Linked DNA regions of Stegostoma tigrinum. The protein of the gene in region 1 purifies or fractionates together with the protein of each later gene. This does not show direct contact. Links are inferred from orthologs where the notes say so. Each region holds a gene or a part of one and is shown on either strand. Other genes may lie near its edges.

The links.
Region 2: the proteins of snx33 (region 1) and dnm2a purify together in Homo sapiens (co-immunoprecipitation; 3 studies listed by BioGRID and IntAct, with this or other methods). This does not show direct contact. The link is inferred for Stegostoma tigrinum from reciprocal best matches to the Homo sapiens genes SNX33 and DNM2.

The regions. Positions count from the first base shown.
Region 1 is NC_081389.1:25,228,608-25,240,286, forward strand, and holds the start of snx33 (sorting nexin-33), read left to right. Parts: upstream 1-6,511; 5' UTR 6,512-6,862; coding exon 6,863-8,300; intron 8,301-11,679. UniProt on the Homo sapiens protein: Plays a role in the reorganization of the cytoskeleton, endocytosis and cellular vesicle trafficking via its interactions with membranes, WASL, DNM1 and DNM2. Acts both during interphase and at the end of mitotic cell divisions.
Region 2 is NC_081388.1:24,863,883-24,875,529, forward strand, and holds the start of dnm2a (dynamin-3), read left to right. Parts: upstream 1-5,617; 5' UTR 5,618-5,727; coding exon 5,728-6,002; intron 6,003-11,647. UniProt on the Homo sapiens protein: Catalyzes the hydrolysis of GTP and utilizes this energy to mediate vesicle scission at plasma membrane during endocytosis and filament remodeling at many actin structures during organization of the actin cytoskeleton.

The DNA.
Region 1 (11,679 bases):
TACTGGCAACACTCACCACCCTTTGTGTGAAAAACTTGCCATGCACTGTCTTTTAAACTCTCCCCCTTGCACCTTGAACCTGTGTCCCCTAGTAATTGATCTCTCCACCCTGGGAGAAAGCCTCTTGCTTTCCACTCTATCCATGCCATTTACAATCTTATAAACTTCAATTAGGTTGCCCCTCAACCTCCTGTGTTCCAGTTAAAACAAACCCAGTCTATCCAAGATAATAAAGTGTGGAGCTGGACGAACACAGCAGGCCAAGCAGCACCTCAGGAGCACAAAAGCTGACGTTTTGGGCCTAGACCCTTCATCGGATGTGTTCATCCAGCTTCACACTTTGTTATCTTGGATTCTCCAGCATCTGCAGTTCCCATTATCTCTGACCCCAGTCTATCCAACCTTTCTTCAAAACTAAAATCCCCCATATACCAGGCAACATCTTGGTCAACCTTTTCTGCACCCTGTCCAAAGCATTTACATCCTTCTGGTAGTGTGGTGGCCAGAACTATATGTAATATTCCAAGTGTGGCCTAACCAAAGTTACATAGAACATAGAACATTACAGCACAGTACAGGCCCTTCGGCCCTCGATGTTGTGCCGACCTGTCATATCGATCTCAAGCCCATCTAACCTACACTATTCCATGTGCGTCCATATGCTTATCCAATGACGCCTTAAATGTACCTGTAATGTACCTAAATGTTCTGTAAAGCTGCAGCATAACTTGTCTATCCTTATACTCAATGCACCCTCCAATGAAGGCAAGCATGCCATAAGCCTTTTTTACTACCTTACCTACCTACGTTGCCACCTTTAGCGATCTTGGACTTTTACACCCAGATCCCTCTGCATATCAATACTCCTAAGTTCTGCCATTCACTGTATAATTTCCACCTGTACTTGATATTCCAAAATGCATCACCTCACATTTGTCCAAATTAAACCCTATCTGCCACTTTTCTGCCCATGCCTCCAGCTGATCCATATCCTGCTGTTTCCTCTGACAATCTTCCTCAATATCCATAACTCCACCAGTCTTTGTATCTATTACTAATTAGACCAGTAACGTTTTCCTCCATTTCATTTATGTAGAACACGAACAGCAGAGGTCCCAGCACTAATCCCTGTGGAACATCACTAGTCACAGCTCTCCATTCCAAAAAGCATCCTTCCACTTCTACGCTTTGTCCCCCATGACTAAGCCAGTTCTATATCCGTCTTGCCAACTCACCCCAATACCATGTGACTTCACCTTTTGAGCGTGGTCAGACGCTTTATTGAAGATCATGTAGACAACAATTGCTTTCCCCTCTTCAATCATCTTCACCACCTCCTCAAAAAAACTTGATCAAATTAGTGAGGCATGACCTCCCCTACACAAAACCATGCTGTCTATCGCTAATACATCCATTTGGTTCTAAATGTATATCGATCTTGTCCCTGAAAATCTTTTCCAATAATTCCTCTACCACTGCGTGAGACTTGCTGGCCTAGAATTTCCGGGATTTTTCCTGCTACCCTTCTTAAACAGGTGGACAACATTGTCTAATCTTCAGTCTTCTGGGATCTCACCTATGGTCAAAGAGGATACAAAGATGTTAGTCACTACTCCGGCAATTTGCTCTCTCACCTCCCTCAATAATCTGGGATAGATCCCATCAGGACTTGACTACCTTAATACTTTTTAAGATGTATTAAAAGGAAGAACACCTCTTTCTTTTTAATAGCAACTTGGTGGATTCCCCTTAATCCTGTTTGCTCATTTTCATGACCCCTTTTAGCACTTCTAATTCCATGTTTAAGTTCTTTCCTACTTTCCTTATATACTTCAAGGGCTTCATCAATTCCTATCCTCCTGGATCTTACATATGCTTCCTTCCTTTCTCCTTCTGATGAAGGTCATCACGTTCCTGGTAATCCCAGGTTCATGTAATTTCCCACACCTATCCTTCATTGTCACAGGAACATGCCACTCCTGAACTCTTATCAAATGCAATTTGAAATACTCCCACATGTCTGATGTAGATTTACCCTCAAACAGCCACCTCCAATAAATATTTTCCAGATCTTGCCTAATATTGTTGTAGTTTGTCTTCCCCCAATTTAGCACCTTCACCTGAGGACAGTTTTGTTATCGCCATCCATGAATATCTTAAAATTCACTGTATTTTGGTCACTACTCCCAAAATGCTCTCCCGCTGAAACTTCACTTACCCGGCCAAGCTCATTTCCCAAAACCAAGTCCAGTATAACCTTTTCCTTGGTTGGACTGTTTACATATTGTGTCAAGAATTCCCACTGAATGGGCCTTACAAACTGTGCCCAATCCAAGTCCCTAGCACAAAGTGAGTCCCAGTCCAGTCCAGAGGGGAAGTTAAAATCACCACCACAACAACGCTGCTGTTCTTACATCTTTCCAAAATCTGCCAACGTATTCTCTCCTCTTTCTCCTGCTGGCTGCTAGGAGACCTGTAGTATGCCCCCAGCATTGTGAGTTCACCTTTCCTATTCCTGAGTTCTACCCATATTGTCTCACTGCATAGCTGTGAGATACTCCTTTACCAGTAACGCAACTCGCCCACCCCTTTTACCTCCCCTTCTATCGCTCCTGAAACATTTAAAACCTGGGACATTCAGCTGCCAGTCCTGTCTGTCTTTCAGCCAAGTCGTCGTAATTGCAATAACTTCATAATTCCATGTACTAACCAAAGCTCTAAGTTCATCTACTTTGCCTATTGTATTTCTCACATTGAAATACAGGCATTTCAGATTACCTCTCCTGGTCTTTTCAGCAGTACTTCCCTCCCTGTTCTTGTTCTTTTTGTTTTCCTTGGTTTCTACCTCTCCCTCAATTGCTGCCTCACTACCCTACTCCTCTGGTTCCCATTCCCCCGCCACATTAAACCCTCCCTAACCATTCTACCAAGTATCTCCTCCAAGGACATCAGTCCTGGTCCTGCCAAGTGTAACCCGTCCAGTTTGTACAGGTTCCAGCCTCACTAGAACCAGTCCTAGTTCACCACAAATCTGAAACCCTCCCCCTCTAAAACCCTCCCCCTCACAATATCTTTCCTGCCACGTGTTCATCCTATATATCCTACTGTTTCTGCTCTGACTAGCTTGTGGCACTGGTAGTAATTCTGAGATAACTACCTTTAAGATCCTACATTTCAACTTTCTACCTAGTTCTCAGTATTCTGCTTTTAGGACCTCATACTTTTTTCATTGATGTCGTTTGTACTAACGTGTAACAACCACTGGCTGTTCGCCCTCCCCCTCCAGAATGTCCTGCAACTACCTCGAGATAACCAGACCCTAACTTAGCACCAGGGAGACAACATACCATCCGAGACTCTTGTTTACAGTCACAGCAATGCCTTCTATTCCCCTTACAAATGAATCTCCAATAACTATAACATTTTTCTGTCTATCTCTACCTCCCTCTGCAGCAGAGCCAACCATCCTGCCATGAATTTGGCTGCTGCTGTTATCCACGAGAGGCTATTCCCCTCAACAGTATCCAAAAATGTATATTTGTTTTGCAGGGGAGTAGCCACAGGAGATTCCCGCATTGACTGCTTAGCCTTGCTGCTCTGCCTGCTGGTTATCCAAACCCTTCCTGCCTGTGGATTCTGAGTTTGCAGTGTGACCATCTCCCTATACGTGCAATCCACAACACTCTCCGTCTTGCAAATGCTCTTCAGTGTCCCCAGACTTCGCTCAAACTCGGAAATTCAGGCTTCCAGGAGCTGCAGCTGGAAACACTTCTTGCACACATGCAGCTCCCGGGCACTGAAAGTGTGCCTGGCTTCCCACATCGAGCAAGAAGAGCAGACTGTGATTTGGAGATCTCCTGCCGTGTCTTATTCCTTTATGTTAATTAATCCTTACAATGTTAAATATTCTTAATACTAAATTGAAGCTTCTGATGCTCTCTGCTCTGATATCGATGTCACAAAACTTACCTGTTACTCACCAACAGTTTCCAGAAAGAGATTAGCCTCACACTCCCTTTATCCGCTGGAACTCTCGCTGCTGACTTTCCTGGTTTTGCTGAGTTGCCACACTCTACCAGTAGATGGGGCTTTGATTCCTTCATGGTCGAGAGAATATAGTTCACTATTTTCTGCCAGAAATGTCCACAGCCACACATCTGAAAAACAGTTCCAAAGCATTTAAACAGTCACTGGGAATGCCAGCATCCAATTAAATGGAGACAGGATGGGTTGGAAAAGCATAAGTCCTAACATTTTAGAGTGAAATTAAAGAGTTGTAATTAGTGCCCATGGCCAGGCTGTGTTAAGTCTGAGCTCCTGCAGTTTAAATACAGACTTGTCCCATTATTTTGTCCAACTCCTACGAGGGTGTATTTATAGCACAAGGAATAAGGAGAGGGGAAAGTGCTTTGACCAGGATCCTGTCAGTTCCCTGCGAAATCCGCAATCTTGTTTACTATGGCATCCTGAGATTTGAAATCAAGAGTCCAGTACATCTGTTTACTTTTTGAAAAAGTCACCACCTACTTTGGAGTGGCATGTTCTGCTGTCGCCTGTGATTCTTGATGAAGTTTGAGTACTGAAGACTAAAGTGCAGGTCAACAGGTTCTGCATGATCTCCAGATTTGCCCCCATCAAAATCACAATGAAATAGTGAAAGATCCAGTATTTGGAAAGTTCAATTGACCCAAAACCCCTTCCCTTTCTATAACACTTATATTTGTGAGAATTATTCCATATATAGTTTTCATTAAAAACAGAAAATGTTGCAAACACTCAGCAAGTCAGGCAGCATCTGTGGGGAGATATACTTCTGATGAAAGGTCATCTTGACCAAAAATGTTACCTATTTCTCTTTCCGCACATGATACTTATCCTGCTGTGTATTTTTAGCATTTTCTATTTCAAATCTCAAGCATCAACACTATTTTCCTGTTTCATTTCATATTACTTTTTCTCTAATCTATCACAATTTTGTTATTTTCATTTTTCCTGTGGCAAAATATTGATCCCATTTGCAAATGATTTGAGGCATTTATGTCATCCAGATTCTCCTAATTACTAATGAAAGCTCAAGAGTTCAGTGGATGAAAATGATAAGTTTCCAGATTCCTATTAATCCAGGTGCACTCTGTAATGTAAAGTTTGATTGATCCAAGTTGTTATTTGCCGTCAATTCAGTTTCCTTGCATGAACTTAATTGTTTAAAAAAGTGAATATTTTCTTTACGCTTTCTTTAGAATGAGTAAATTAGTTAAAAACCATTAATGAAGAACGATTACCTGTTCAAAGCTATAAACTGACAACTTGCAGATTTATCACACTTCTGAAAACCAAACCAATTGGATTTCAGTTCCCATTATCACTGATACAATTGGATTTCAGGTTCTCTTTTTCACTGCACAAGTTCTTTTTTTTTCAGATAGCTGCACATCAATGTGTATAAGTTTAACAGTGTGGAACTTCAGTGAGACTATGTTTGAAGCAGTCAATTCTTTGTGATGAAAATAATTTGGAATGTGCTTGGAAATGATTGGATGGCCCTGCATGGTAAAAAGCTCACGCGAGGGATGCTTGTTTTTAGTTTCACCGCAAAGTCTTGTTTCTCCCGGAAATGGGGACTGCGAATAGTTTTATTCTCACATTTTGTCTAAACTTGGACACCAGTTCCATGACATAAGGCACATTTGATGGAGGTAATGTAATTGCTCATACAGCACTAAAATCGCTTCAATAAAGCCAAAGCATCTTAGCAGTTTCTCCAATTTCTGCTTTTGTTTGAAAACGTTAAAACAAAATAAATATCGGCAGAGGTTGGAAATCTGAAAAAAAATCTTGCTAGAGAAACATTACAGGCCTGGCAGCATCTGTAGAGAGAGTAACGTAGTTACAGATGCTGCTAGATTTGTTAAGTTTCTCCAGCAATTTATATTTTTGTTTTAGATTTCCAACACCCGCAGTTATTTGTTTCATTTTAAGGTCTCAAACACTCGCTGTGCTCTCCAGTACACCTGTGTTTGCATAAAATCTGTGCAGGTTATTTGGAAAGATAAAATGCGCCAAATTCCAGAATCTCTTTTCACTATTCCCTGTTAGCCTCCAGATATTAGATCAACCATGATCATAGTTTATAATCTTGAGGAGCTGACTGGCTCCCTCTTGTCCCTGTGCTCTGATTTGGCCACGGCTAAAATGGTCAAATAACCCACCAAAACCCTATATTGGTTGGTTAGTTACTGAGGACGGAGGGAGGGAGTGTTGACTGGAACAAACCCCAGCAGTCAGTTCTGAGGGAGGGTCACTGGACCCGAAACGTCAACTTTAATATTTTCTTTACAGATGCTGCTAGACCTGCTGTGCTTTTCCAGCAATTTCTGGGTTTTTTGTGAGTTACAGCGTGCGCAGTTTTTTCGGGTTTTTTTTGGTCCCAGCAGTCAGTTCCTGGCTTGATCCCGGCAGTTTTGAAGGATCAGTGGGATGTGTTTCCTTGAAGTGCGCAAGATCCAATACCTAGAGGGCAGTCGCGAACTTCCTTTTGCAAGCTGCAAAAGTTTTGCTGCGCGTCAAAGTACGGGAGCTTATCACAACAAAGAGGAGTTTGGCCGCGGCCATCGCTGGGAAGGTTACAGTATCCCGGGACACAGTTTGTAGCTGGGTCTTGGACGGAAGGAACAAATTGCCGAGCTGAACGATGTACCGGGAGCAGAGGAGTCGGTAGGAGCTGCGAACCAGCCGTCCGCCTTTCTTCTCCCCGCTGGAGAAAGCCGAGCATTAGAGAGAGTTGGAACGATAATCCGCACCCACCTCCAGCTGCCGGATCCCCGAGGAGGTACAGCACCCCCTTCTTCCCCATCCCTGGACCATGGCTTCCATCAAAGCCAAAGCTCTTTACAGCTTCCAGAGTGAGAACCCCGAGGAGATCAGCATCCAAGAGAACGAACAGCTGCTGGTTTTTAACGAGAAGTCTTTGGATGGTTGGCTGGAAGGCCAGAACAGCCGAGGGGACAAAGGGCTCTTTCCAGCTTCTTATGTGGAAATTCTCAAACCCAGTACACCCTTACCCTGTACTTCCAATTCTGCTTTCACTCACCACTCACCAGGGAATTACTCTGCAATTTACTCCCCCATTTCAGCCTCTTCCTACCAACAGGGCAGCTATGAGGAAGATGATGATGATGATTGGGATGATTGGGATGACTCTTCCACTGTGTTTGATGAACCTGGTGTATCCAGTAACACCAATGGCCACAATCATCTCCATCCATACACAGTCTCCCCGTATCCTAATGTGATGTACAGGCAAAAACCATCAGTGGAAAGGCAGGACAGCACTGCCAGCAGGCTCAGCACTAAAAGCAGTGCTGTGGGCAAGAACTTCAACCGCTTCTCAAGTTTTGTTAGATCTGGTGGGGAAGCATTCATCCTGGGTGAAGTGCCTGCTATCTTTAAGACTTCAGAAACCTATAGTGTAGTGATGAGCCCTGATGGGCCTCAGTGGAGTGAGAGCCCTCATCCCTTCACCTGTACCATTGAGGAACCCACGAAGCAAACCAAGTTTAAAGGCATCAAGAGTTACATCTCCTATAAGTTGACACCTAGTCAAACCAACAACCCCGTTTATCGTCGCTACAAACACTTTGACTGGCTACACAATAGGCTGCTGCACAAGTTCTCTGTCATCTCTGTGCCACATCTGCCAGAGAAACAGGCCACTGGCCGATTTGAAGATGATTTCATTGAGAAACGCAAGAGGCGTTTGATTCTGTGGATGGACCACATGACAAGCCATCCAGTGCTTTCCCAGTACGAGGGGTTTCAACACTTCCTGACTTGCACAGACGACCGGGCCTGGAAACAGGGAAAAAGACGGATGGAGAAAGATGAATTAGTTGGTGCCAATTCTTTCCTGACCATCCAAATCCCACAGGAACATCAGGATCTTCAGGATGTGGAGGAGAGGGTGGACACGTTCAAAACCTTCTCTAAGAGGATGGATGACAGTGTGCTGCAACTGACCAATGTGGCCACAGACCTCTGCCGCAAACATGTTGGAGGCTTCAGGAAGGAATTTCAGAAATTAGGCAATGCTTTTAATTCAATAAGTCAGGCTTTTGAATTGGATCAACCACACCTTGCAGTGCCTCTGAACAAGGCCATTTCCAACACGGGCAAAACATATGAAGCCATTGGAGAGTTGTTTGCAGAACAGCCCAAGAATGATCTGTTCCATATGTTGGACACACTTTCTCTGTATCAAGGCCTACTGTCCAATTTCCCAGACATCATTCATGTTCAGAAAGGTAAGCTCATCTCTCAATTATAGCAGATCTCTGAAATGTTGAAGTTCTCCTTGGTATGATAACAACTCACTATTAATGAGTTTGTGCCCATTCATAATTGCTAGGTACAGAAAATAAACTGCTTTAAACCTCAATTTTATCTTCCTAGCTCTGTTGGTGTATATCTGTTATTTGTTCAACTCAATGTCCAAGGACATTCATTGTATTAATAATCTGTGATGATCTTGTCCTGCTCAAGGGAAAGATATTATTGATAGTGGACAAGCAAAATATCTGTACAGAGTGAACCTAGGATTATATCAGATAGGCCATAAAGATAAGCAGTGTTGCATGAGAATCTGTATGCACTGAAAACCACTCGGTATGTTACAGAAGGAGAAGTGTATCACACTATGAGAACTGTGCAAACTATGTGTGGACTGCATAGCTCATTACATTAAACAAGGGGACTTAATGGACTGAACTTACAGGAGGAACTGTATGGGTTTGCTGCTCCAGAGCCAAGGTTTGGGCTGTGGGAGGTTGTCGTGTATCACATGGGATCTGTGTGGTCCCCAGGTAGATGCACAGATTATTAAGATGTGTGCAATCTATGTTCATTGTACTTGTTACTCCATATCTATTGGCCAAAATGAAGACTGTGACTTAGAAGCTAGTTCATTGAGACATCCAAATTGGTTTTGATTTACTGTAGAATATATTGAAAAGGATTTCAACAGAGTTTGAAATGATAATATATTTATATTTATTTGTGCCTTCACCTTCAAGGGAAGCAAGTCTCTCTAACAATTGATATTGGAAAAATTTGGAGTATTTGGTCTTGAGTGTTAAATTGAGCTTTAGCCTCTCCCATTTTGTAGTATTTTCTAACCCTTTTTCTTGTCTGTGTCCTCCAGTGACACGGGCAGGCAGTGCTGATATGAAGTAAGAACTGCCGATGCTGGAGTCTGAGATAACAAGGTGTGGAGCTGGGGGAACACAGCAGGCCAGGCAGCATCAGAAGAGCAGGAAAGCTGACACTTCGGTTTGGGACCCTTCTTCAGAAATGGGGGAGGCGAAGGGGGCTCTGAAATAAATAGAGAGGTGGGGGAGACGATGATAGAAGTGAATAGTGGAGTGGATAGGTGGGAGAGAAGACAGACAGGTGAAGGACGCGAGGATGAAGCTAGTAAAGGTGAGCATAGGTAGGAAGTGGTGGTGGGGATTGGCCAGTGAGGTGGAAGGAGTGGTTATGTGGGAGAGAAGACAGATAGGTCAAGGAGGCAGCAATGAGAATGGGGGAGCTGGTCTTGGGATGAGATCGGGGGTGGGGAGATTTTGAAGCTGGTTGAGGGAGGGGTGGATCTGACACAACTTTGCATGGCAATATAGCTGAGACTAGGGGCTCATGCTCCTTGGCAGCCTAGATGGCTGGTTCAAAACCATCTCATTCCAAGCCTGGGTATATACCATCATTGTACTGGCTCATCTGTGGCTCAGTGGGTCGATGTTGCTTCTGATTCAGAATGTTGTGAGTTCAAGCCCCACTCCTGAGACTACAAGCATTTCAGCAAGTACTCCTCATCATTGGCAGTCCTTTGCAGATGAGGATGTCTCTCTTTCACTGTCAGGATGAGTGTGTAGATGGTTGAATGGACTGATGTGACAGTTACGAGCTCTGATATACATGGGGCATGTGGTGATCATGGGAAGGGGTGGGTGGAGTATTGGTGTGGCAGCATGCTGTTTTCACCTGTCTTCCATTTTTTTCCTGATGGCAAGTCTGTGTGCATGATAACTTCTTGGATGTTTCTCCTCCACCTTGTATGGTCTTGAGCCAGTGATTTGCTGGTGTCTGTGGCAATGATGCACTTTGCCACTGAGGTCTTGAGGCTATCGCAGAAGCACTTCCTCTGTCCACCTAGGGCGTGCCTGCTGTTTCAGGAGTAGAGCATCTGATGGGGAGTCTCATGCCGGTCTTGTGAACGACATGCCCAGCTCAGTGTGGCCGATCAAAGGTAGCCAGTGCCTTCATGCTGAGGATGTTGGCCTGTTTGAGGACTAGTGTCGATCTTTCTTCCCTGTGGATTTGCAGGATCTTATGCAGAGTGTGTTGGTGGTACTGTTCCAGTGCACTGGGACATCTGCTGCCAGCCAGTAGTAAGGTAGTGCCACACTGGTGAAGTGCTGTCTTTCTTGATGAGACAGTGGATAAGGGGAAAAGCAGGGGAATTCTCCTTTATGTGAACCAACATCACTAAAACAAAAACACTGGAGATTTTCATATTGCTGTTTGTGATAGGTTTGCTGTGCACAAGTTTGCAGCTATGTCACTACGACAGTGACAAAGCTTATAAAAGTGCATCACTGGCTGTGAATAGTTTAGGATGTCCTGAGGTGTTCCTCTCGTGGATTTTGAATTAATGGAAAAGGCTTAGCAGGAAATGTACATAATTCCCTCACCCTGTAAATGACTACCCACTTGTACCTGGGAAAGCAGAATGTTATTAAGTGTGTACAGCTCTAAAGTCACAAGCAATAGAAATAGTTGTTCTGTATCATGACGGTCTGTAATTGTTTCAGTAGAAGCCGAGCGGTATCGTGTTTGAGTTGGGGAGTGATATTTGTCTCAGCCTCTGAGGAATTTGCATTTTTGAGTGCTCAGAGAATAATCTATCATATATGTGTCACAGACTCATCTTTGCAATGAGCCTATCACCACTTTTCACTTCTGGACAGACTGGTTAGAATGGTTTAATGATAAACTTTCAACAGATAAAAATGGAGCAGTGACAATGGCATCAGCATCACAAAGAAGAGCTGTTCGTCCCCATTCCACCTGAGCTGTCAGCACCCTTTGACAGGATAAACATAGCATCCACCTCCAGAATCTCTTCAATTCTGTCTGGCTGGATGTGGCTCTGCTCCCCTGGTTCCACGGAGATTATCATAGAGTCTTAGCAGAAAGGAAGATGGTTGTGAGTGATGAAGTCAGTCAACTCAGCTCCAGATTTACTGCAGGACTTCGTTAGGGTTGTGTCTTTGGACCACCCATCTCAGCTGCTTCATCAATGACTTTCCATCCAACATAAGGTTGGAAATGGGGAAGTTCGCTGATGATTGCACAATGATCGTCACCACGCGTATGTTCTCAGATACTGAAGCAGTCCATGTCCAGATGCAGCAGGACTTGGACGTATATCCTGACTTGGGCTGAAAAGTGACAAGTAACATAAGTGCCACACAGGTGACAAATAATCTGCCAACAAGAGAGAATCAAACCAAACATTCCTTGATATTCAAAGACATTACTACTATTGATTCCCTCAGTATCAACCAGAAACTGGACTGGACTGAACCGGATATATAAAGACTGGCTACAAGAGTGGGTTAGAGGCTG
Region 2 (11,647 bases), on another chromosome or scaffold:
CAACTTTCACATCATCTTCAAGGAGAACAGTCCTAGTTTTTCAAATGTATCTATGTAACTGAAGTTCCTCATTACTGAATTGTTCTCCTGAATCTTTTATCATGAATCATCCCAATGTATTCGCCCACCCTTGCAAATGTGTGCTGCTCAGCACTGGACAACGTATTGCAAGTGAAATCAAAACTGTGTGTTTTAGACTCTTCTCATCATTTCTCTGGTACTCCATGACCCTATTTATAAAGCCCAAAATCTTGTCTGCTTTATTAAACTCCTCAACCTGCGATGGCATTTCAATGATCTGCATATTCGCCTCTAGATCCATGTATTTTGGCACCACTTTAGAATTGCGCCCTTTAGTTTTTGTTGCCTCTTCTGTCATTAAACTAATAACCCAGAACCCCAGGCTAATGGTCTGGGACATGGGTTCAAATCCTACATTGGCAGATCATGAGGTTTGATTTTTAAAAATCTTATTTTGAAAGCCAGTCTGAAACCACAGTGACCACTCAGCATCAACCTAGGTGCCAGAAATGAGAGTGACAGCCCCTGAAAAGTCCTTCTCACTAATATCCATGTCGCAGTATTAAAATTGGGAGAGATGTTCCACAGACTAGCTGAATAACTGCCTGACATACTCATACTCATCTGCATGACACAGTAACCAATAATCATTGCACAGTGTATTGATTGAAAGCAGGTGGACCTCGATAACTGAGGTTCTTGATTGAAGTTATTAACCCGGGCCAGTCATTCCCAATTTGGTCCCAACCATGACCACATCTACATCCAGAACATTGAGACCCTTCAGAAGCATTTCTCCCTGCAAGTCCTGAAACACATACTCTCAGCAATGTGCCGGCATCTCCAGGCACTGCAATCCAGCCTGCCCCAGCTCTCAGCCTCCCTCTCCCAGACCTGCGGAGGACCTCTCCTGTTTGTTATCCTTCATAGGATCTACAAACTGAACACACAGTTCTACTCAGCTTTACTGTACACGAAAAACTGTAAGTACAATAAACTCACTGGTCCCTGCCACCTTAAACAGGATTCCTCCCACCTCCCAAATCCCCAGCCTGACCCTGCACCTCCCCCACAATCTATCAGCCGCCATTAGCCATGAGGCCACTGACCGAGAACCCACTGATAACGTCACATCCGCCACCGCCGCGTACACCACTTCCGGGACCACGAACGCGACTGCTGCTGTAGCCACCGCCTCCACTTCCAGAACTAACACCACAAACATCTCCCTCACCGTCACTGTTGCCGCCCACCCCGCTCCGTCCACCGGTGATGCCACTTCGCCCACCACAGATGCCAACTCCACTCTGCCCACTGCTGATAGAACCCCGCCCACAGCCAGCAACCCCAGAGAAGACAGCCACACTGAGCCCTGTCGAATCTTCACCTTCCCCCCCCCCCCCCCCCCCCCAGACCTCCCACTGACTGAGGATGAATGGTCAGTCCTTAGCAAGGGGCTCACCTTTGTTCCCCCTCCATCCACACATAACGAATACCAGTCAGGTTTGGACGCCGAGCAGTTTTTCCGCCGCCTTCGCCTCCATGCTTACTTCTCTGACTGTGAGCCTAACCCTCCCTCTGCTGACCCCTTCACCTGCCTCCAACACAAGTCCTCCTCCTGGACACCACCCTCCCTCAACCTCTTCATCTCCAACTGCCATTGAGACATCAATCGCGTCAACCTCTCCACCCCTCTCACCCACTCCAACCTCTCCCCTGCAGAAAGTGCAGCCCTCCGCTCCAATCCCAACCTCACCATGAAACCCGCAGACAAGGAGGCGCAGTGGTAGTATGGCGCACTGACCTCTACATCGCCGAGGCCAGACGCCAACTCTCCGACACCGCCTCCTACCGCCCCCTGGATCATGACCCCCCCCCCCCCCACCCCGAGCAACAAACCATCATCTCCCAAACCATCCACAACCTCATCGCCTCAGGTGACCTCCCACCCACAGCCTCCAACCTCATTGTTCCCCAACCCTGCAACGCCCACTTCTATCTCCTTCCCAAAACCTACAAACCTGCTGGCCCTGGTCGACCCATTGTCTCCGCCTGCTCCTGCCCCACCAAACACGAATCCACCTATCTGGACTCCATTTTCTCCCCCTTGTTCCAGGAACTCCCTACCTATGTCCATGACACCACCCACTCCCTCCACCTCCTCCAGAACTTCCAATTCCCCGTTCCCCAACACCTCATTTTCACCATGGACGTCCAGTCCCTATACACCTGCATTCCCCGTGCAGATGGCCTAAAGGCACTCCGCTTCTTCCTGTCTTGCAGGCCCGACCAGACCCCCTCTACTGACACCCTCATCCGCCTAGCCAAACTCGTCCTCACCCCCAACAACTTCTCTTTCGATTCCTCCCACTTCCTACAGACAAAGGGGGTGGCCGTGGGTACCTGCATGGGCCCAAGCTATGCCTGCCCCTTTGTAGGTTATGTGGAACAGTCCCTCTTCCGTACCTACACTGGCCCTAAACCCCATCTCTTCCTCTGTTACATTGATGACTATATCGGCGCCGCCTCGTGCTCCCAAGAGGAGCTCAAACAGTTCATCCACTTCACCAACACATTCCACCTCAACCTCAAGTTCACTTGTACCATCTCCAACACATCCCTCCCCTTCCTGTCTCCATCTCAGGCAACCACCATTTCAAGATATCCATTTCAAGCCCACCGACTCCCACAGCTACCTGGAATACACCACCTCCCACCCACCTTCCTGAAGAAATTCCATCCCCTGTTCCCAATTCCTTCGCCTTCACTGCATCTGCTCCCAGGATGAGGCATTCCACTCCCATACATTCCAGATGTCTTCTTTCTTCAGGGGCTGCAACTGCACCGCACCCCACTCCTCCCCCCCCCCCCCCCCCCCGGCAGTGCTCGAGAACACCCTCGACCATGTCTCCTGCATTTCCCGTAACTCATCCCTCACACCCCGTCCCTGCAATACCCGCCAAAAGAGAATCCCCCTCATCCTCACATACCACCCCACCAACCTCCGGACATAATGCATCATCCTCCCAACACTTCTGCCGTCTACAATCCGACACCACCACCAAAGACATTTTTCCATCCCCACCCTTATGTGCTTTCTGGAAAGACCACTCTCTCTGGGACTCCCTTGTCCGCTCCACACTCCTCTCCAACCCCAGCACGCCTGGCACTTTCCCCTCCAACCGCAAGAAGTGCTACACTTGCCCCCATTCCTCCTCCCACACGCCCATCCCAGGCCCCAAGATGACTTTCCACATTAAGCAGATGTTCACCCGCACATCTGCCAATGTGGTATACTGCATCCGCTGTACCATTGTGGCTTCCTCTACATTGGGGAAACCAAGCGGAGGCTTGGGGACTGCATTGCAGAGCACCTCTGCTTGGTTCGCAATAAACAACTGCACCTCCCAGTCACGAACCATTTCAACTCCCCCTCGCCTTCCTTAGACAACATGTCTGTCCTGGGCCTCCTGCAGTGCCATAACGATGCCACCCGAAGGTTGCAGGAATAGCAACTCAAATTCTGCTAGGGAACCCAAAACACTGCATCCCAAAACCAGCCCAGCTCGTCCCCACCTCCCTAACCTGTTCTTCCTCTCAGCTATCCCCTCCTCCTACCTCAAGCCACACCTCCATCTCCTATCTACCTACCTACCTACTAACCCAATGGGACGCCCCATTGACCTGTCCCCTCCCTACCTCCCCACCTACACTCGCCTTTAGTGGCTCCATTCCCGCCCCTTTTAACTTGTCTGTCTCCTCTCCACCCCTCTTCTCCTCTGTTCACCTTCGATCTGCCTCCCCCTTTCTCCCTATTTATTTCAGAATCCTCTCCCAATCCCCCTCTTTGATGAAGGGTCGAGCCTCGAAACGTCAGCTTTTGTGCTCCTAAGATGCTGCTTGGCCTGCTGTGTTCATCCAGCTCCACACTTTGTTACCCTAGTCAGGAAAGCCCTGGCTGAACAATATGATCAGGAGTTGAGAATCTCCTCAGTTCAGGGGACTGACTCTCGGCTAGCTGGCTACAGCCTGTGTAGCGTGTGCATGGAGATAAAGGATGATTTTGGTGGTGGGGCGCCAGCCTCCGTGCAGTTATTTCACATGGAGAATTGGTTGGGAGCCCTCAATATTGACATGGGCCTCCATGAGGTCTCGTGGCATCAGGTCAAACAGAGGCAATGAAACTTCGTGCTGATCACCACATACCAGTCCAAATCCTGGTCTTTGTTTATGAATCAATGCTCCTCGTTGAACACCACTTGGGGTGGCAAAGGACAGCAGGTACGCTGGATGGGAAATTTCAATGTCCATCAGCAGTAGTTTGGCAGCACCAGTAACAAGTTCAACCATGACTGTGTTAAAGCAGCAGAGCAAGTCTGAGGGGCCATATGATCTATTTCAGTGTCCTGTCAATGTCATTTACATGCTTCTTGATGCATTTCCACTTCCTTTCAAATGCTCCACTTTTTTTTCGTTATTTCAAATTTCCTTCTTTTGAAATGATCACAGATCATCCATCATCACCCCACTCTTTTATTCCTGCTGCCAACCTGCTTGAAACCTGTATTACAGTATCTTTTACTTAAACCAATTCTACTGAAATGTTAAGATAATAAAATGTGAGGCTGGATGAACACAGCAGGCCAAGCAGCATCTCAGGAGCACAAAAGCTGACGTTTCGGGCCTAGACCCTTCATCAAAGAGGGGGATTGGGAGAGGATTCTGAAATCTGATGAAGGGTCTAGGCCCGAAACGTCAGCTTTTGTGCTCCTGAGATGCTGCTTGGCCTGCTGTGTTCATCCAGCCTCACATTTTATTATCCAGAGAATCTCCAGCATCTGCAGTTCCCATTATCTCTGATACTACTGAAATGTTAAATGTGTTTCTCTCTACAGAGGTATTGTCTAAACACCTGAGGTCTTTCCAATTTTTTTTTCAAATTTCAGATTTTCTTCTGGATTATTTTCCAGTTGTTTTTATGCACCTTTCCTGCTGTATGGCACAATGCTACGTATCTGGGTGTGTACTCAGCTTCGTCAGTTCGTCTGGAGGGTCTGAGCCCGAAACGTCAGCTTTTGTGCTCCTGAGATGCTGCTTGGCCTGCGGTGTTCATCCAGCTCCACACTTTGTTATCCTGGTCTGTTCGCTTCCTGGTCAGTAACAACAGGGAAGGGAGGGTGGAAGCATGACCTCATCGGTCTCCAATCGGTTCTGGCCGTGGATGACTGACGTGCAGGAGAAGCCAATGAAGGGTTAGGAAGGCGGGGATAATGGGACCTGCCAATGCTGGAGAATCCGAGATAACAAGGTGTGGAGCTGGATGGACACAGAAGGCCGAGCAGCATCTCAGGAGCAGAAAGGCTGACGTTTCGGGCCCAGAGCCTTCCGAAACATAAGCTTTCCTGCTCCTAAGATGCTGCGTGGCCTGTTGTGTTCATCCAGCAGTTATATTGGAGAGGAAGGCGGGTCAGCTTTCGGAACGCGGGGGAGCGAATCAGTGACGGAATCACTATGATCGACAGGGACCTTAGCCAATGATTGGTCATATGGGTGGTGACATCTGACTGATGTCCAATGCACCCATTCAGAATGAGCGATGTTGTGATTGACGGAGGAATGTCCAATCTAATTGGGCCAGAATGGGTGACGCACCCAGGAAAGGCGTCATTACAAGGGCAGGCCGTGCGATGAATGGCTTAGATTCGGATGATTGGCGGTAGATCTGGCGAGTGGGATGTGCCCGGTTATCCGGCGGGCCTAGGGTGTGAGCGGAAGCGCAGGCCTCAGGCGCTGGGAGTGAATCAGTCCCCGAGCGGCGCAATGGGGAACCGGGGGATGGAGGATCTGATCCCGCTGGTTAACAAGCTGCAGGACGCTTTCAGCTCCATCGGTCAGAGCTGTAATCTCGACCTGCCGCAGATCGCCGTCGTGGGAGGGCAAAGCGCCGGCAAAAGCTCGGTGTTGGAGAACTTCGTCGGCAGGTGGGGGCGGGGGGGAGAGACTGAATGTGTAAATCGGGAGAAAGGGAGAGAGAGGGGGAATGTGTAAACTGGGGGAAAGTGTAAACCGGGGGAAAGGGGGGGGAGAGAGAGAGAGGGGGAACGTGTAAACCGGGGGAAAGGGGGGGAGAGAGAGAGAGAGGGGGAACGTGTAAACCGGGGGAAAGGGGGGGAGAGAGAGAGAGAGAGAGAGAGGGGGGGGAACGTGTAAACCGGGGGAAAGGGGGGGAGAGAGAGAGAGAGAGAGGGGGGGGGGACGTGTAAACCGGGGGAAAGGGGGAGAGAGAGAGAGAGAGAGGGGGGGGAACGTGTAAACCGGGGGAAAGGGGGGGAGAGAGAGAGAGAGGGGGAACGTGTAAACCGGGGGAAAGGGGGAGAGAGAGAGAGAGAGAGAGGGGGGGGAACGTGTAAACCGGGGGAAAGGGGGGGGGAGAGAGAGAGGGGGGGGAACGTGTAAACCGGGGAAAGGGGGGGAGAGAGAGAGAGAGAGGGGGGGAACGTGTAAACCGGGGGAAAGGGGGGGAGAGAGAGAGAGAGGGGGAACGTGTAAACCGGGGGAAAGGGGGAGAGAGAGAGAGAGGGGGGGAACGTGTAAACCGGGGGAAAGGGGGAGAGAGAGAGAGAGGGGGGGAACGTGTAAACCGGGGGAAAGGGGGAGAGAGAGAGAGAGAGGGGGGGGAACGTGTAAACCGGGGGAAAGGGGGGGGGGGAGAGAGAGAGAGAGAGAGAGAGAGGGGGGGGGAACGTGTAAACCGGGGGAAAGGGGGAGAGAGAGAGAGAGGGGGGGAACGTGTAAACCGGGGGAAAGGGGGAGAGAGAGAGAGAGAGAGGGGGGGAACGTGTAAACCGGGGGAAAGGGGGGGGGAGAGAGAGAGGGGGGGGGAACGTGTAAACCGGGGAAAAGGGGGGGGAGAGAGAGAGAGAGAGAGGGGGGGGGAACGTGTAAACCGGGGGAAAGGGGGGGAGAGAGAGAGAGAGGGGGAACGTGTAAACCGGGGGAAAGGGGGAGAGAGAGAGAGAGGGGGGGAACGTGTAAACCGGGGGAAAGGGGGGAGAGAGAGAGAGAGGGGGGGGAACGTGTAAACCGGGGAAAGGGGGGGGGAGAGAGAGAGAGAGGGGGGGGGAACGTGTAAACCGGGGGAAAGGGGGGGGGGGAGAGAGAGAGAGAGAGAGAGGGGGGGGGAACGTGTAAACCGGGGGAAAGGGGGGGGGGGAGAGAGAGAGAGAGAGAGAGGGGGGGGGAACGTGTAAACCGGGGAAAAGGGGGGGAGAGAGAGAGAGAGAGAGGGGGGGGAACGTGTAAACCGGGGGAAAGGGGGGGGAGAGAGAGAGAGAGAGGGGGGGGGAACGTGTAAACCGGGGGAAAGGGGGGGGAGAGAGAGAGAGAGAGAGAGGGGGGAACGTGTAAACCGGGGAAAGGGGGGAGAGAGAGAGAGAGGGGGGGGAACGTGTAAACCGGGGGAAAGGGGGGAGAGGGAGAGAGAGGGGGGGAACGTGTAAACCGGGGGAAAGGGGGGGGGGGAGAGAGAGAGAGAGAGAGAGAGGGGGGGGGAACGTGTAAACCGGGGAAAAGGGGGGGAGAGAGAGAGAGAGAGAGGGGGGGGAACGTGTAAACCGGGGGAAAGGGGGGGAGAGAGAGAGAGAGAGGGGGGGGAACGTGTAAACCGGGGGAAAGGGGGGGAGAGAGAGAGAGAGAGAGAGGGAGGGGGGGAACGTGTAAACCGGGGAAAGGGGGGGAGAGAGAGAGAGGGGGGGGGGAACGTGTAAACCGGGGGAAAGGGGGGGAGAGAGGGGGGGGGGGGAACGTGTAAACCGGGGGAAAGGGGGGGGAGAGAGAGAGAGGGGGGGGAACGTGTAAACCGGGGGAAAGGGGGGGAGAGAGAGAGAGGGGGGGGGAACGTGTAAACCGGGGGAAAGGGGGGGAGAGAGAGAGAGGGGGGGGACGTGTAAACCGGGGGAAAGGGGGGGAGAGAGAGAGAGGGGGGGAACGTGTAAACCGGGGGAAAGGGGGAGAGAGAGAGAGAGAGGGGGGGAACGTGTAAACCGGGGGAAAGGGGGGGAGAGAGAGAGAGAGAGGGGGGGGGGAACGTGTAAACCGGGGAAAGGGGGGGAGAGAGAGAGAGGGGGGGGAACGTGTAAACCGGGGGAAAGGGGGGGAGAGAGAGAGAGGGGGGGGAACGTGTAAACCGGGGAAAGGGGGGGGAGAGAGAGAGAGGGGGGAACGTGTAAACTGGGGAAAGGGGGGGGGGAGAGAGAGAGAGAGGGAACGTGTAAACTGGGGAAAGGGGGGGGGAGAGAGAGAGAGAGGGAACGTGTAAACTGGGGGAAAGGGGGGGAGAGGGAGAGAGAGAGAGAGAGGGAACGTGTAAACTGGGGGAAAGGGGGGGAGAGGGAGAGAGAGAGAGGGGAACGTGTAAACTGGGGGAAAGGGGGGGAGAGGGAGAGAGAGAGAGGGAACGTGTAAACTGGGGGAAAGGGGGGGAGAGGGAGAGAGAGAGAGGGAACGTGTAAACTGGGGGAAAGGGGGGGGAGAGGGGGAGAGAGAGAGGGAACGTGTAAACTGGGGGAAAGGGGGGGAGAGGGGAGAGAGAGAGAGAGGGAACGTGTAAACTGGGGGAAAGGGGGGGGGAGAGAGAGAGAGAGGGAACGTGTAAACTGGGGAAAGGGGGGGGGAGAGAGAGAGAGAGGGAACGTGTAAACTGGGGGAAAGGGGGGGAGAGGGAGAGAGAGAGAGAGAGGGAACGTGTAAACTGGGGGAAAGGGGGGGAGAGGGAGAGAGAGAGGGAACGTGTAAACTGGGGAAAGGGGGGGGCGAGGGAGAGGGGGAGAGAGAGAGAGAGGGAACGTGTAAACTGGGGGAAAGGGGGGGGAGAGGGAGAGAGAGAGAGAGAGGGAACGTGTAAACTGGGGGAAAGGGGGGGGAGAGGGAGAGAGAGAGAGAGAGAGGGAACGTGTAAACTGGGGGAAAGGGGGGGGAGAGGGAGAGAGAGAGAGAGAGGGAACGTGTAAACTGGGGGAAAGGGGGGGGGGCGAGGGAGGGAGAGAGAGAGGGAACGTGTAAACTGGGGGAAAGTGGGGGGGGGAGAGGGAGAGAGAGAGAGAGAGGGAACGTGTAAACTGGGGGAAAGGGGGGGGGAGAGGGGGGGAGAGAGAGAGAGAGAGAGAGAGAGGGGGGGGAACGTGTAAACTGGGGGAAAGTGTAAACCGGGGGAAAGGGGGGGGGAGAGAGAGGGGGGGGGAACGTGTAAACCGGGGGAAAGGGGGGGGGGAGAGAGAGAGAGAGAGAGGGGGGGGGAACGTGTAAACCGGGGGAAAGGCGGGGGGAGAGAGAGAGAGGGGGGGGGGGGGAACGTGTAAACCGGGGGAAAGGGGGGGGAGAGAGAGAGAGAGAGGGAACGTGTAAACTGGGGGAAAGCGGGGGGGGAGAGAGAGAGAGAGAGAGAGGGAACGTGTAAACTGGGGGAAAGGGGGGGGGGCGAGGGAGGGAGAGAGAGAGGGAACGTGTAAACTGGGGGAAAGGGGGGGGGAGAGGGAGGGAGAGAGAGAGGGAACGTGTAAACTGGGGGAAAGGGGGGGGGGAGAGGGGGAGAGAGAGAGAGAGGGAACGTGTAAACTGGGGGAAAGGGGGGGGAGAGGGAGAGAGAGAGAGAGAGGGAACGTGTAAACTGGGGGAAAGGGGGGGGAGAGGGGGAGAGAGAGAGAGAGAGAGGGAACGTGTAAACTGGGGGAAAGGGGGGGGGAGAGAGAGAGAGAGGGAACGTGTAAACTGGGGGAAAGGGGGGGGGAGAGAGAGAGAGAGAGAGGGAACGTGTAAACTGGGGGAAAGGGGGGGGGAGAGGGAGAGAGAGAGAGAGAGGGAACGTGTAAACTGGGGGAAAGGGGGGGAGAGAGAGAGAGAGAGGGAACGTGTAAACTGGGGGAAAGGGGGGGAGAGAGAGAGAGAGAGGGAACGTGTAAACTGGGGGAAAGGGGGGTAGAGGGAGAGAGGGAATGTGAAACCGGGGGGAAGGGGGGGAGAGAGAGAGAGAGAGAGGGAACGTGTAAACCGGGGGAAAGGGGGAGAGAGAGAGAGAGGGAACGTGGAAACCGGGGGAAAGGGGGAGAGAGTGAGAGAGGGAACGTGAAACCGGGGGAAAGGGAGAGAGAGAGAGAGAGAGGGAACGTGTAAACTGGGGGAAAGGGGGGGAGAGAGAGAGAGAGAGAGGGAACGTGTAAAGGGGGGGAGAGAGAGAGAGAGGGAACGTGTAAACCGGGGGAAAGGGGGGGAGTGAGAGAGACAGAGAGGGAACGTGTAAACCGGGGGAAAGTGGGGGAGAGAGAGAGAGAGGGAACGTGCAAACCGGGGGAAAGGGGGGGGAAGAGAGAGAGAGGGGGAACGTGTAAACCGGGGGAAAGACGGGGGGGGAGAGAGAGAGAGGGGGAACGTGTAAACCGGGGAAAGGGGGGGCGGAGAGAGAGAGGGGTGAACGTGTAAACCGGGGGAAAGGGGGGGCGGAGATAGAGAGAGAGGGGGAACGTGTAAACCGGGGGAAAGGGGGAGAGAGAGAGAGAGGGGGAACGTGTAAACCGGGGGAAAGGTGGGGGGGAGAGAGAGAGAGAGGGAACGTGTAAACCGGGGGAAAGGGGGGGGGGGGAGAGAGAGAGAGAGAGGGGGAACGTGTAAACCGGGGGAAAGGGGGGGGCGGAGAGAGAGGGGGAACGTGTAAACCGGGGGAAAGGGGGGGCGGAGAGAGAGAGAGGGGGAACGTGTAAACCGGGGGAAAGGGGGGGAGAGAGAGAGAGGGGGAACGTGGTAAACCGGGGGAAAGGGGGGAGAGAGAGAGAGAGAGAGAGAACGTGTAAACCGGGGGAAAGGGGGAGAGATAGAGAGAGAGAGAACGTGTAAACCGGGGGAAAGGGGGAGAGAGAGAGAGAGAGAGAGAGAGAGAGAGAGAGAGAGGGGGAACGTGTAAACCGGGGGAAAGGGGGGGGAGAGAGAGAGAGAGGGAACGTGTAAACCGGGGGAAAGGGGAGGGGGGGAGAGAGAGAGAGAGGGGGAACGTGTAAACCGGGGGAAAGGGGGGGGCGGAGAGAGAGGGGGAACGTGTAAACCGGGGGAAAGGGGGGGCGGAGAGAGAGAGAGGGGGAACGTGTAAACCGGGGGAAAGGGGGGGAGAGAGAGAGAGAGAGAGAGAACGTGTAAACCGGGGGAAAGGGGGAGCGAGAGAGAGAGAGAGAACGTGTAAACCGGGGGAAAGGGGAGAGAGAGAGAGAGAGAGAACGTGTAAACCGGGGGAAAGGGGGAGAGAGAGAGAGAGAGAGAACGTGTAAACCGGGGGAAAGGGGGAGAGAGAGAGAGAGAGAGAGAGAACGTGTAAACCGGGGGAAAGGGGGAGAGAGAGAGAGAGAGAGAGAACGTGTAAACCGGGGGAAAGGGGGAGAGAGAGAGAGAGAGAGAGAGAGAGAACGTGTAAACCGGGGGAAAGGGGGAGAGAGAGAGAGAGAGAGAGAGAGAGAACGTGTAAACTGGGGGAAAGGGGGGGGAGAGGGAGGGAGAGAGAGAGGGAACGTGTAAACTGGGGGAAAGGGGGGGGAGAGGGGGAGAGAGAGAGAGAGGGAACGTGTAAACTGGGGAAAGGGGGGGGAGA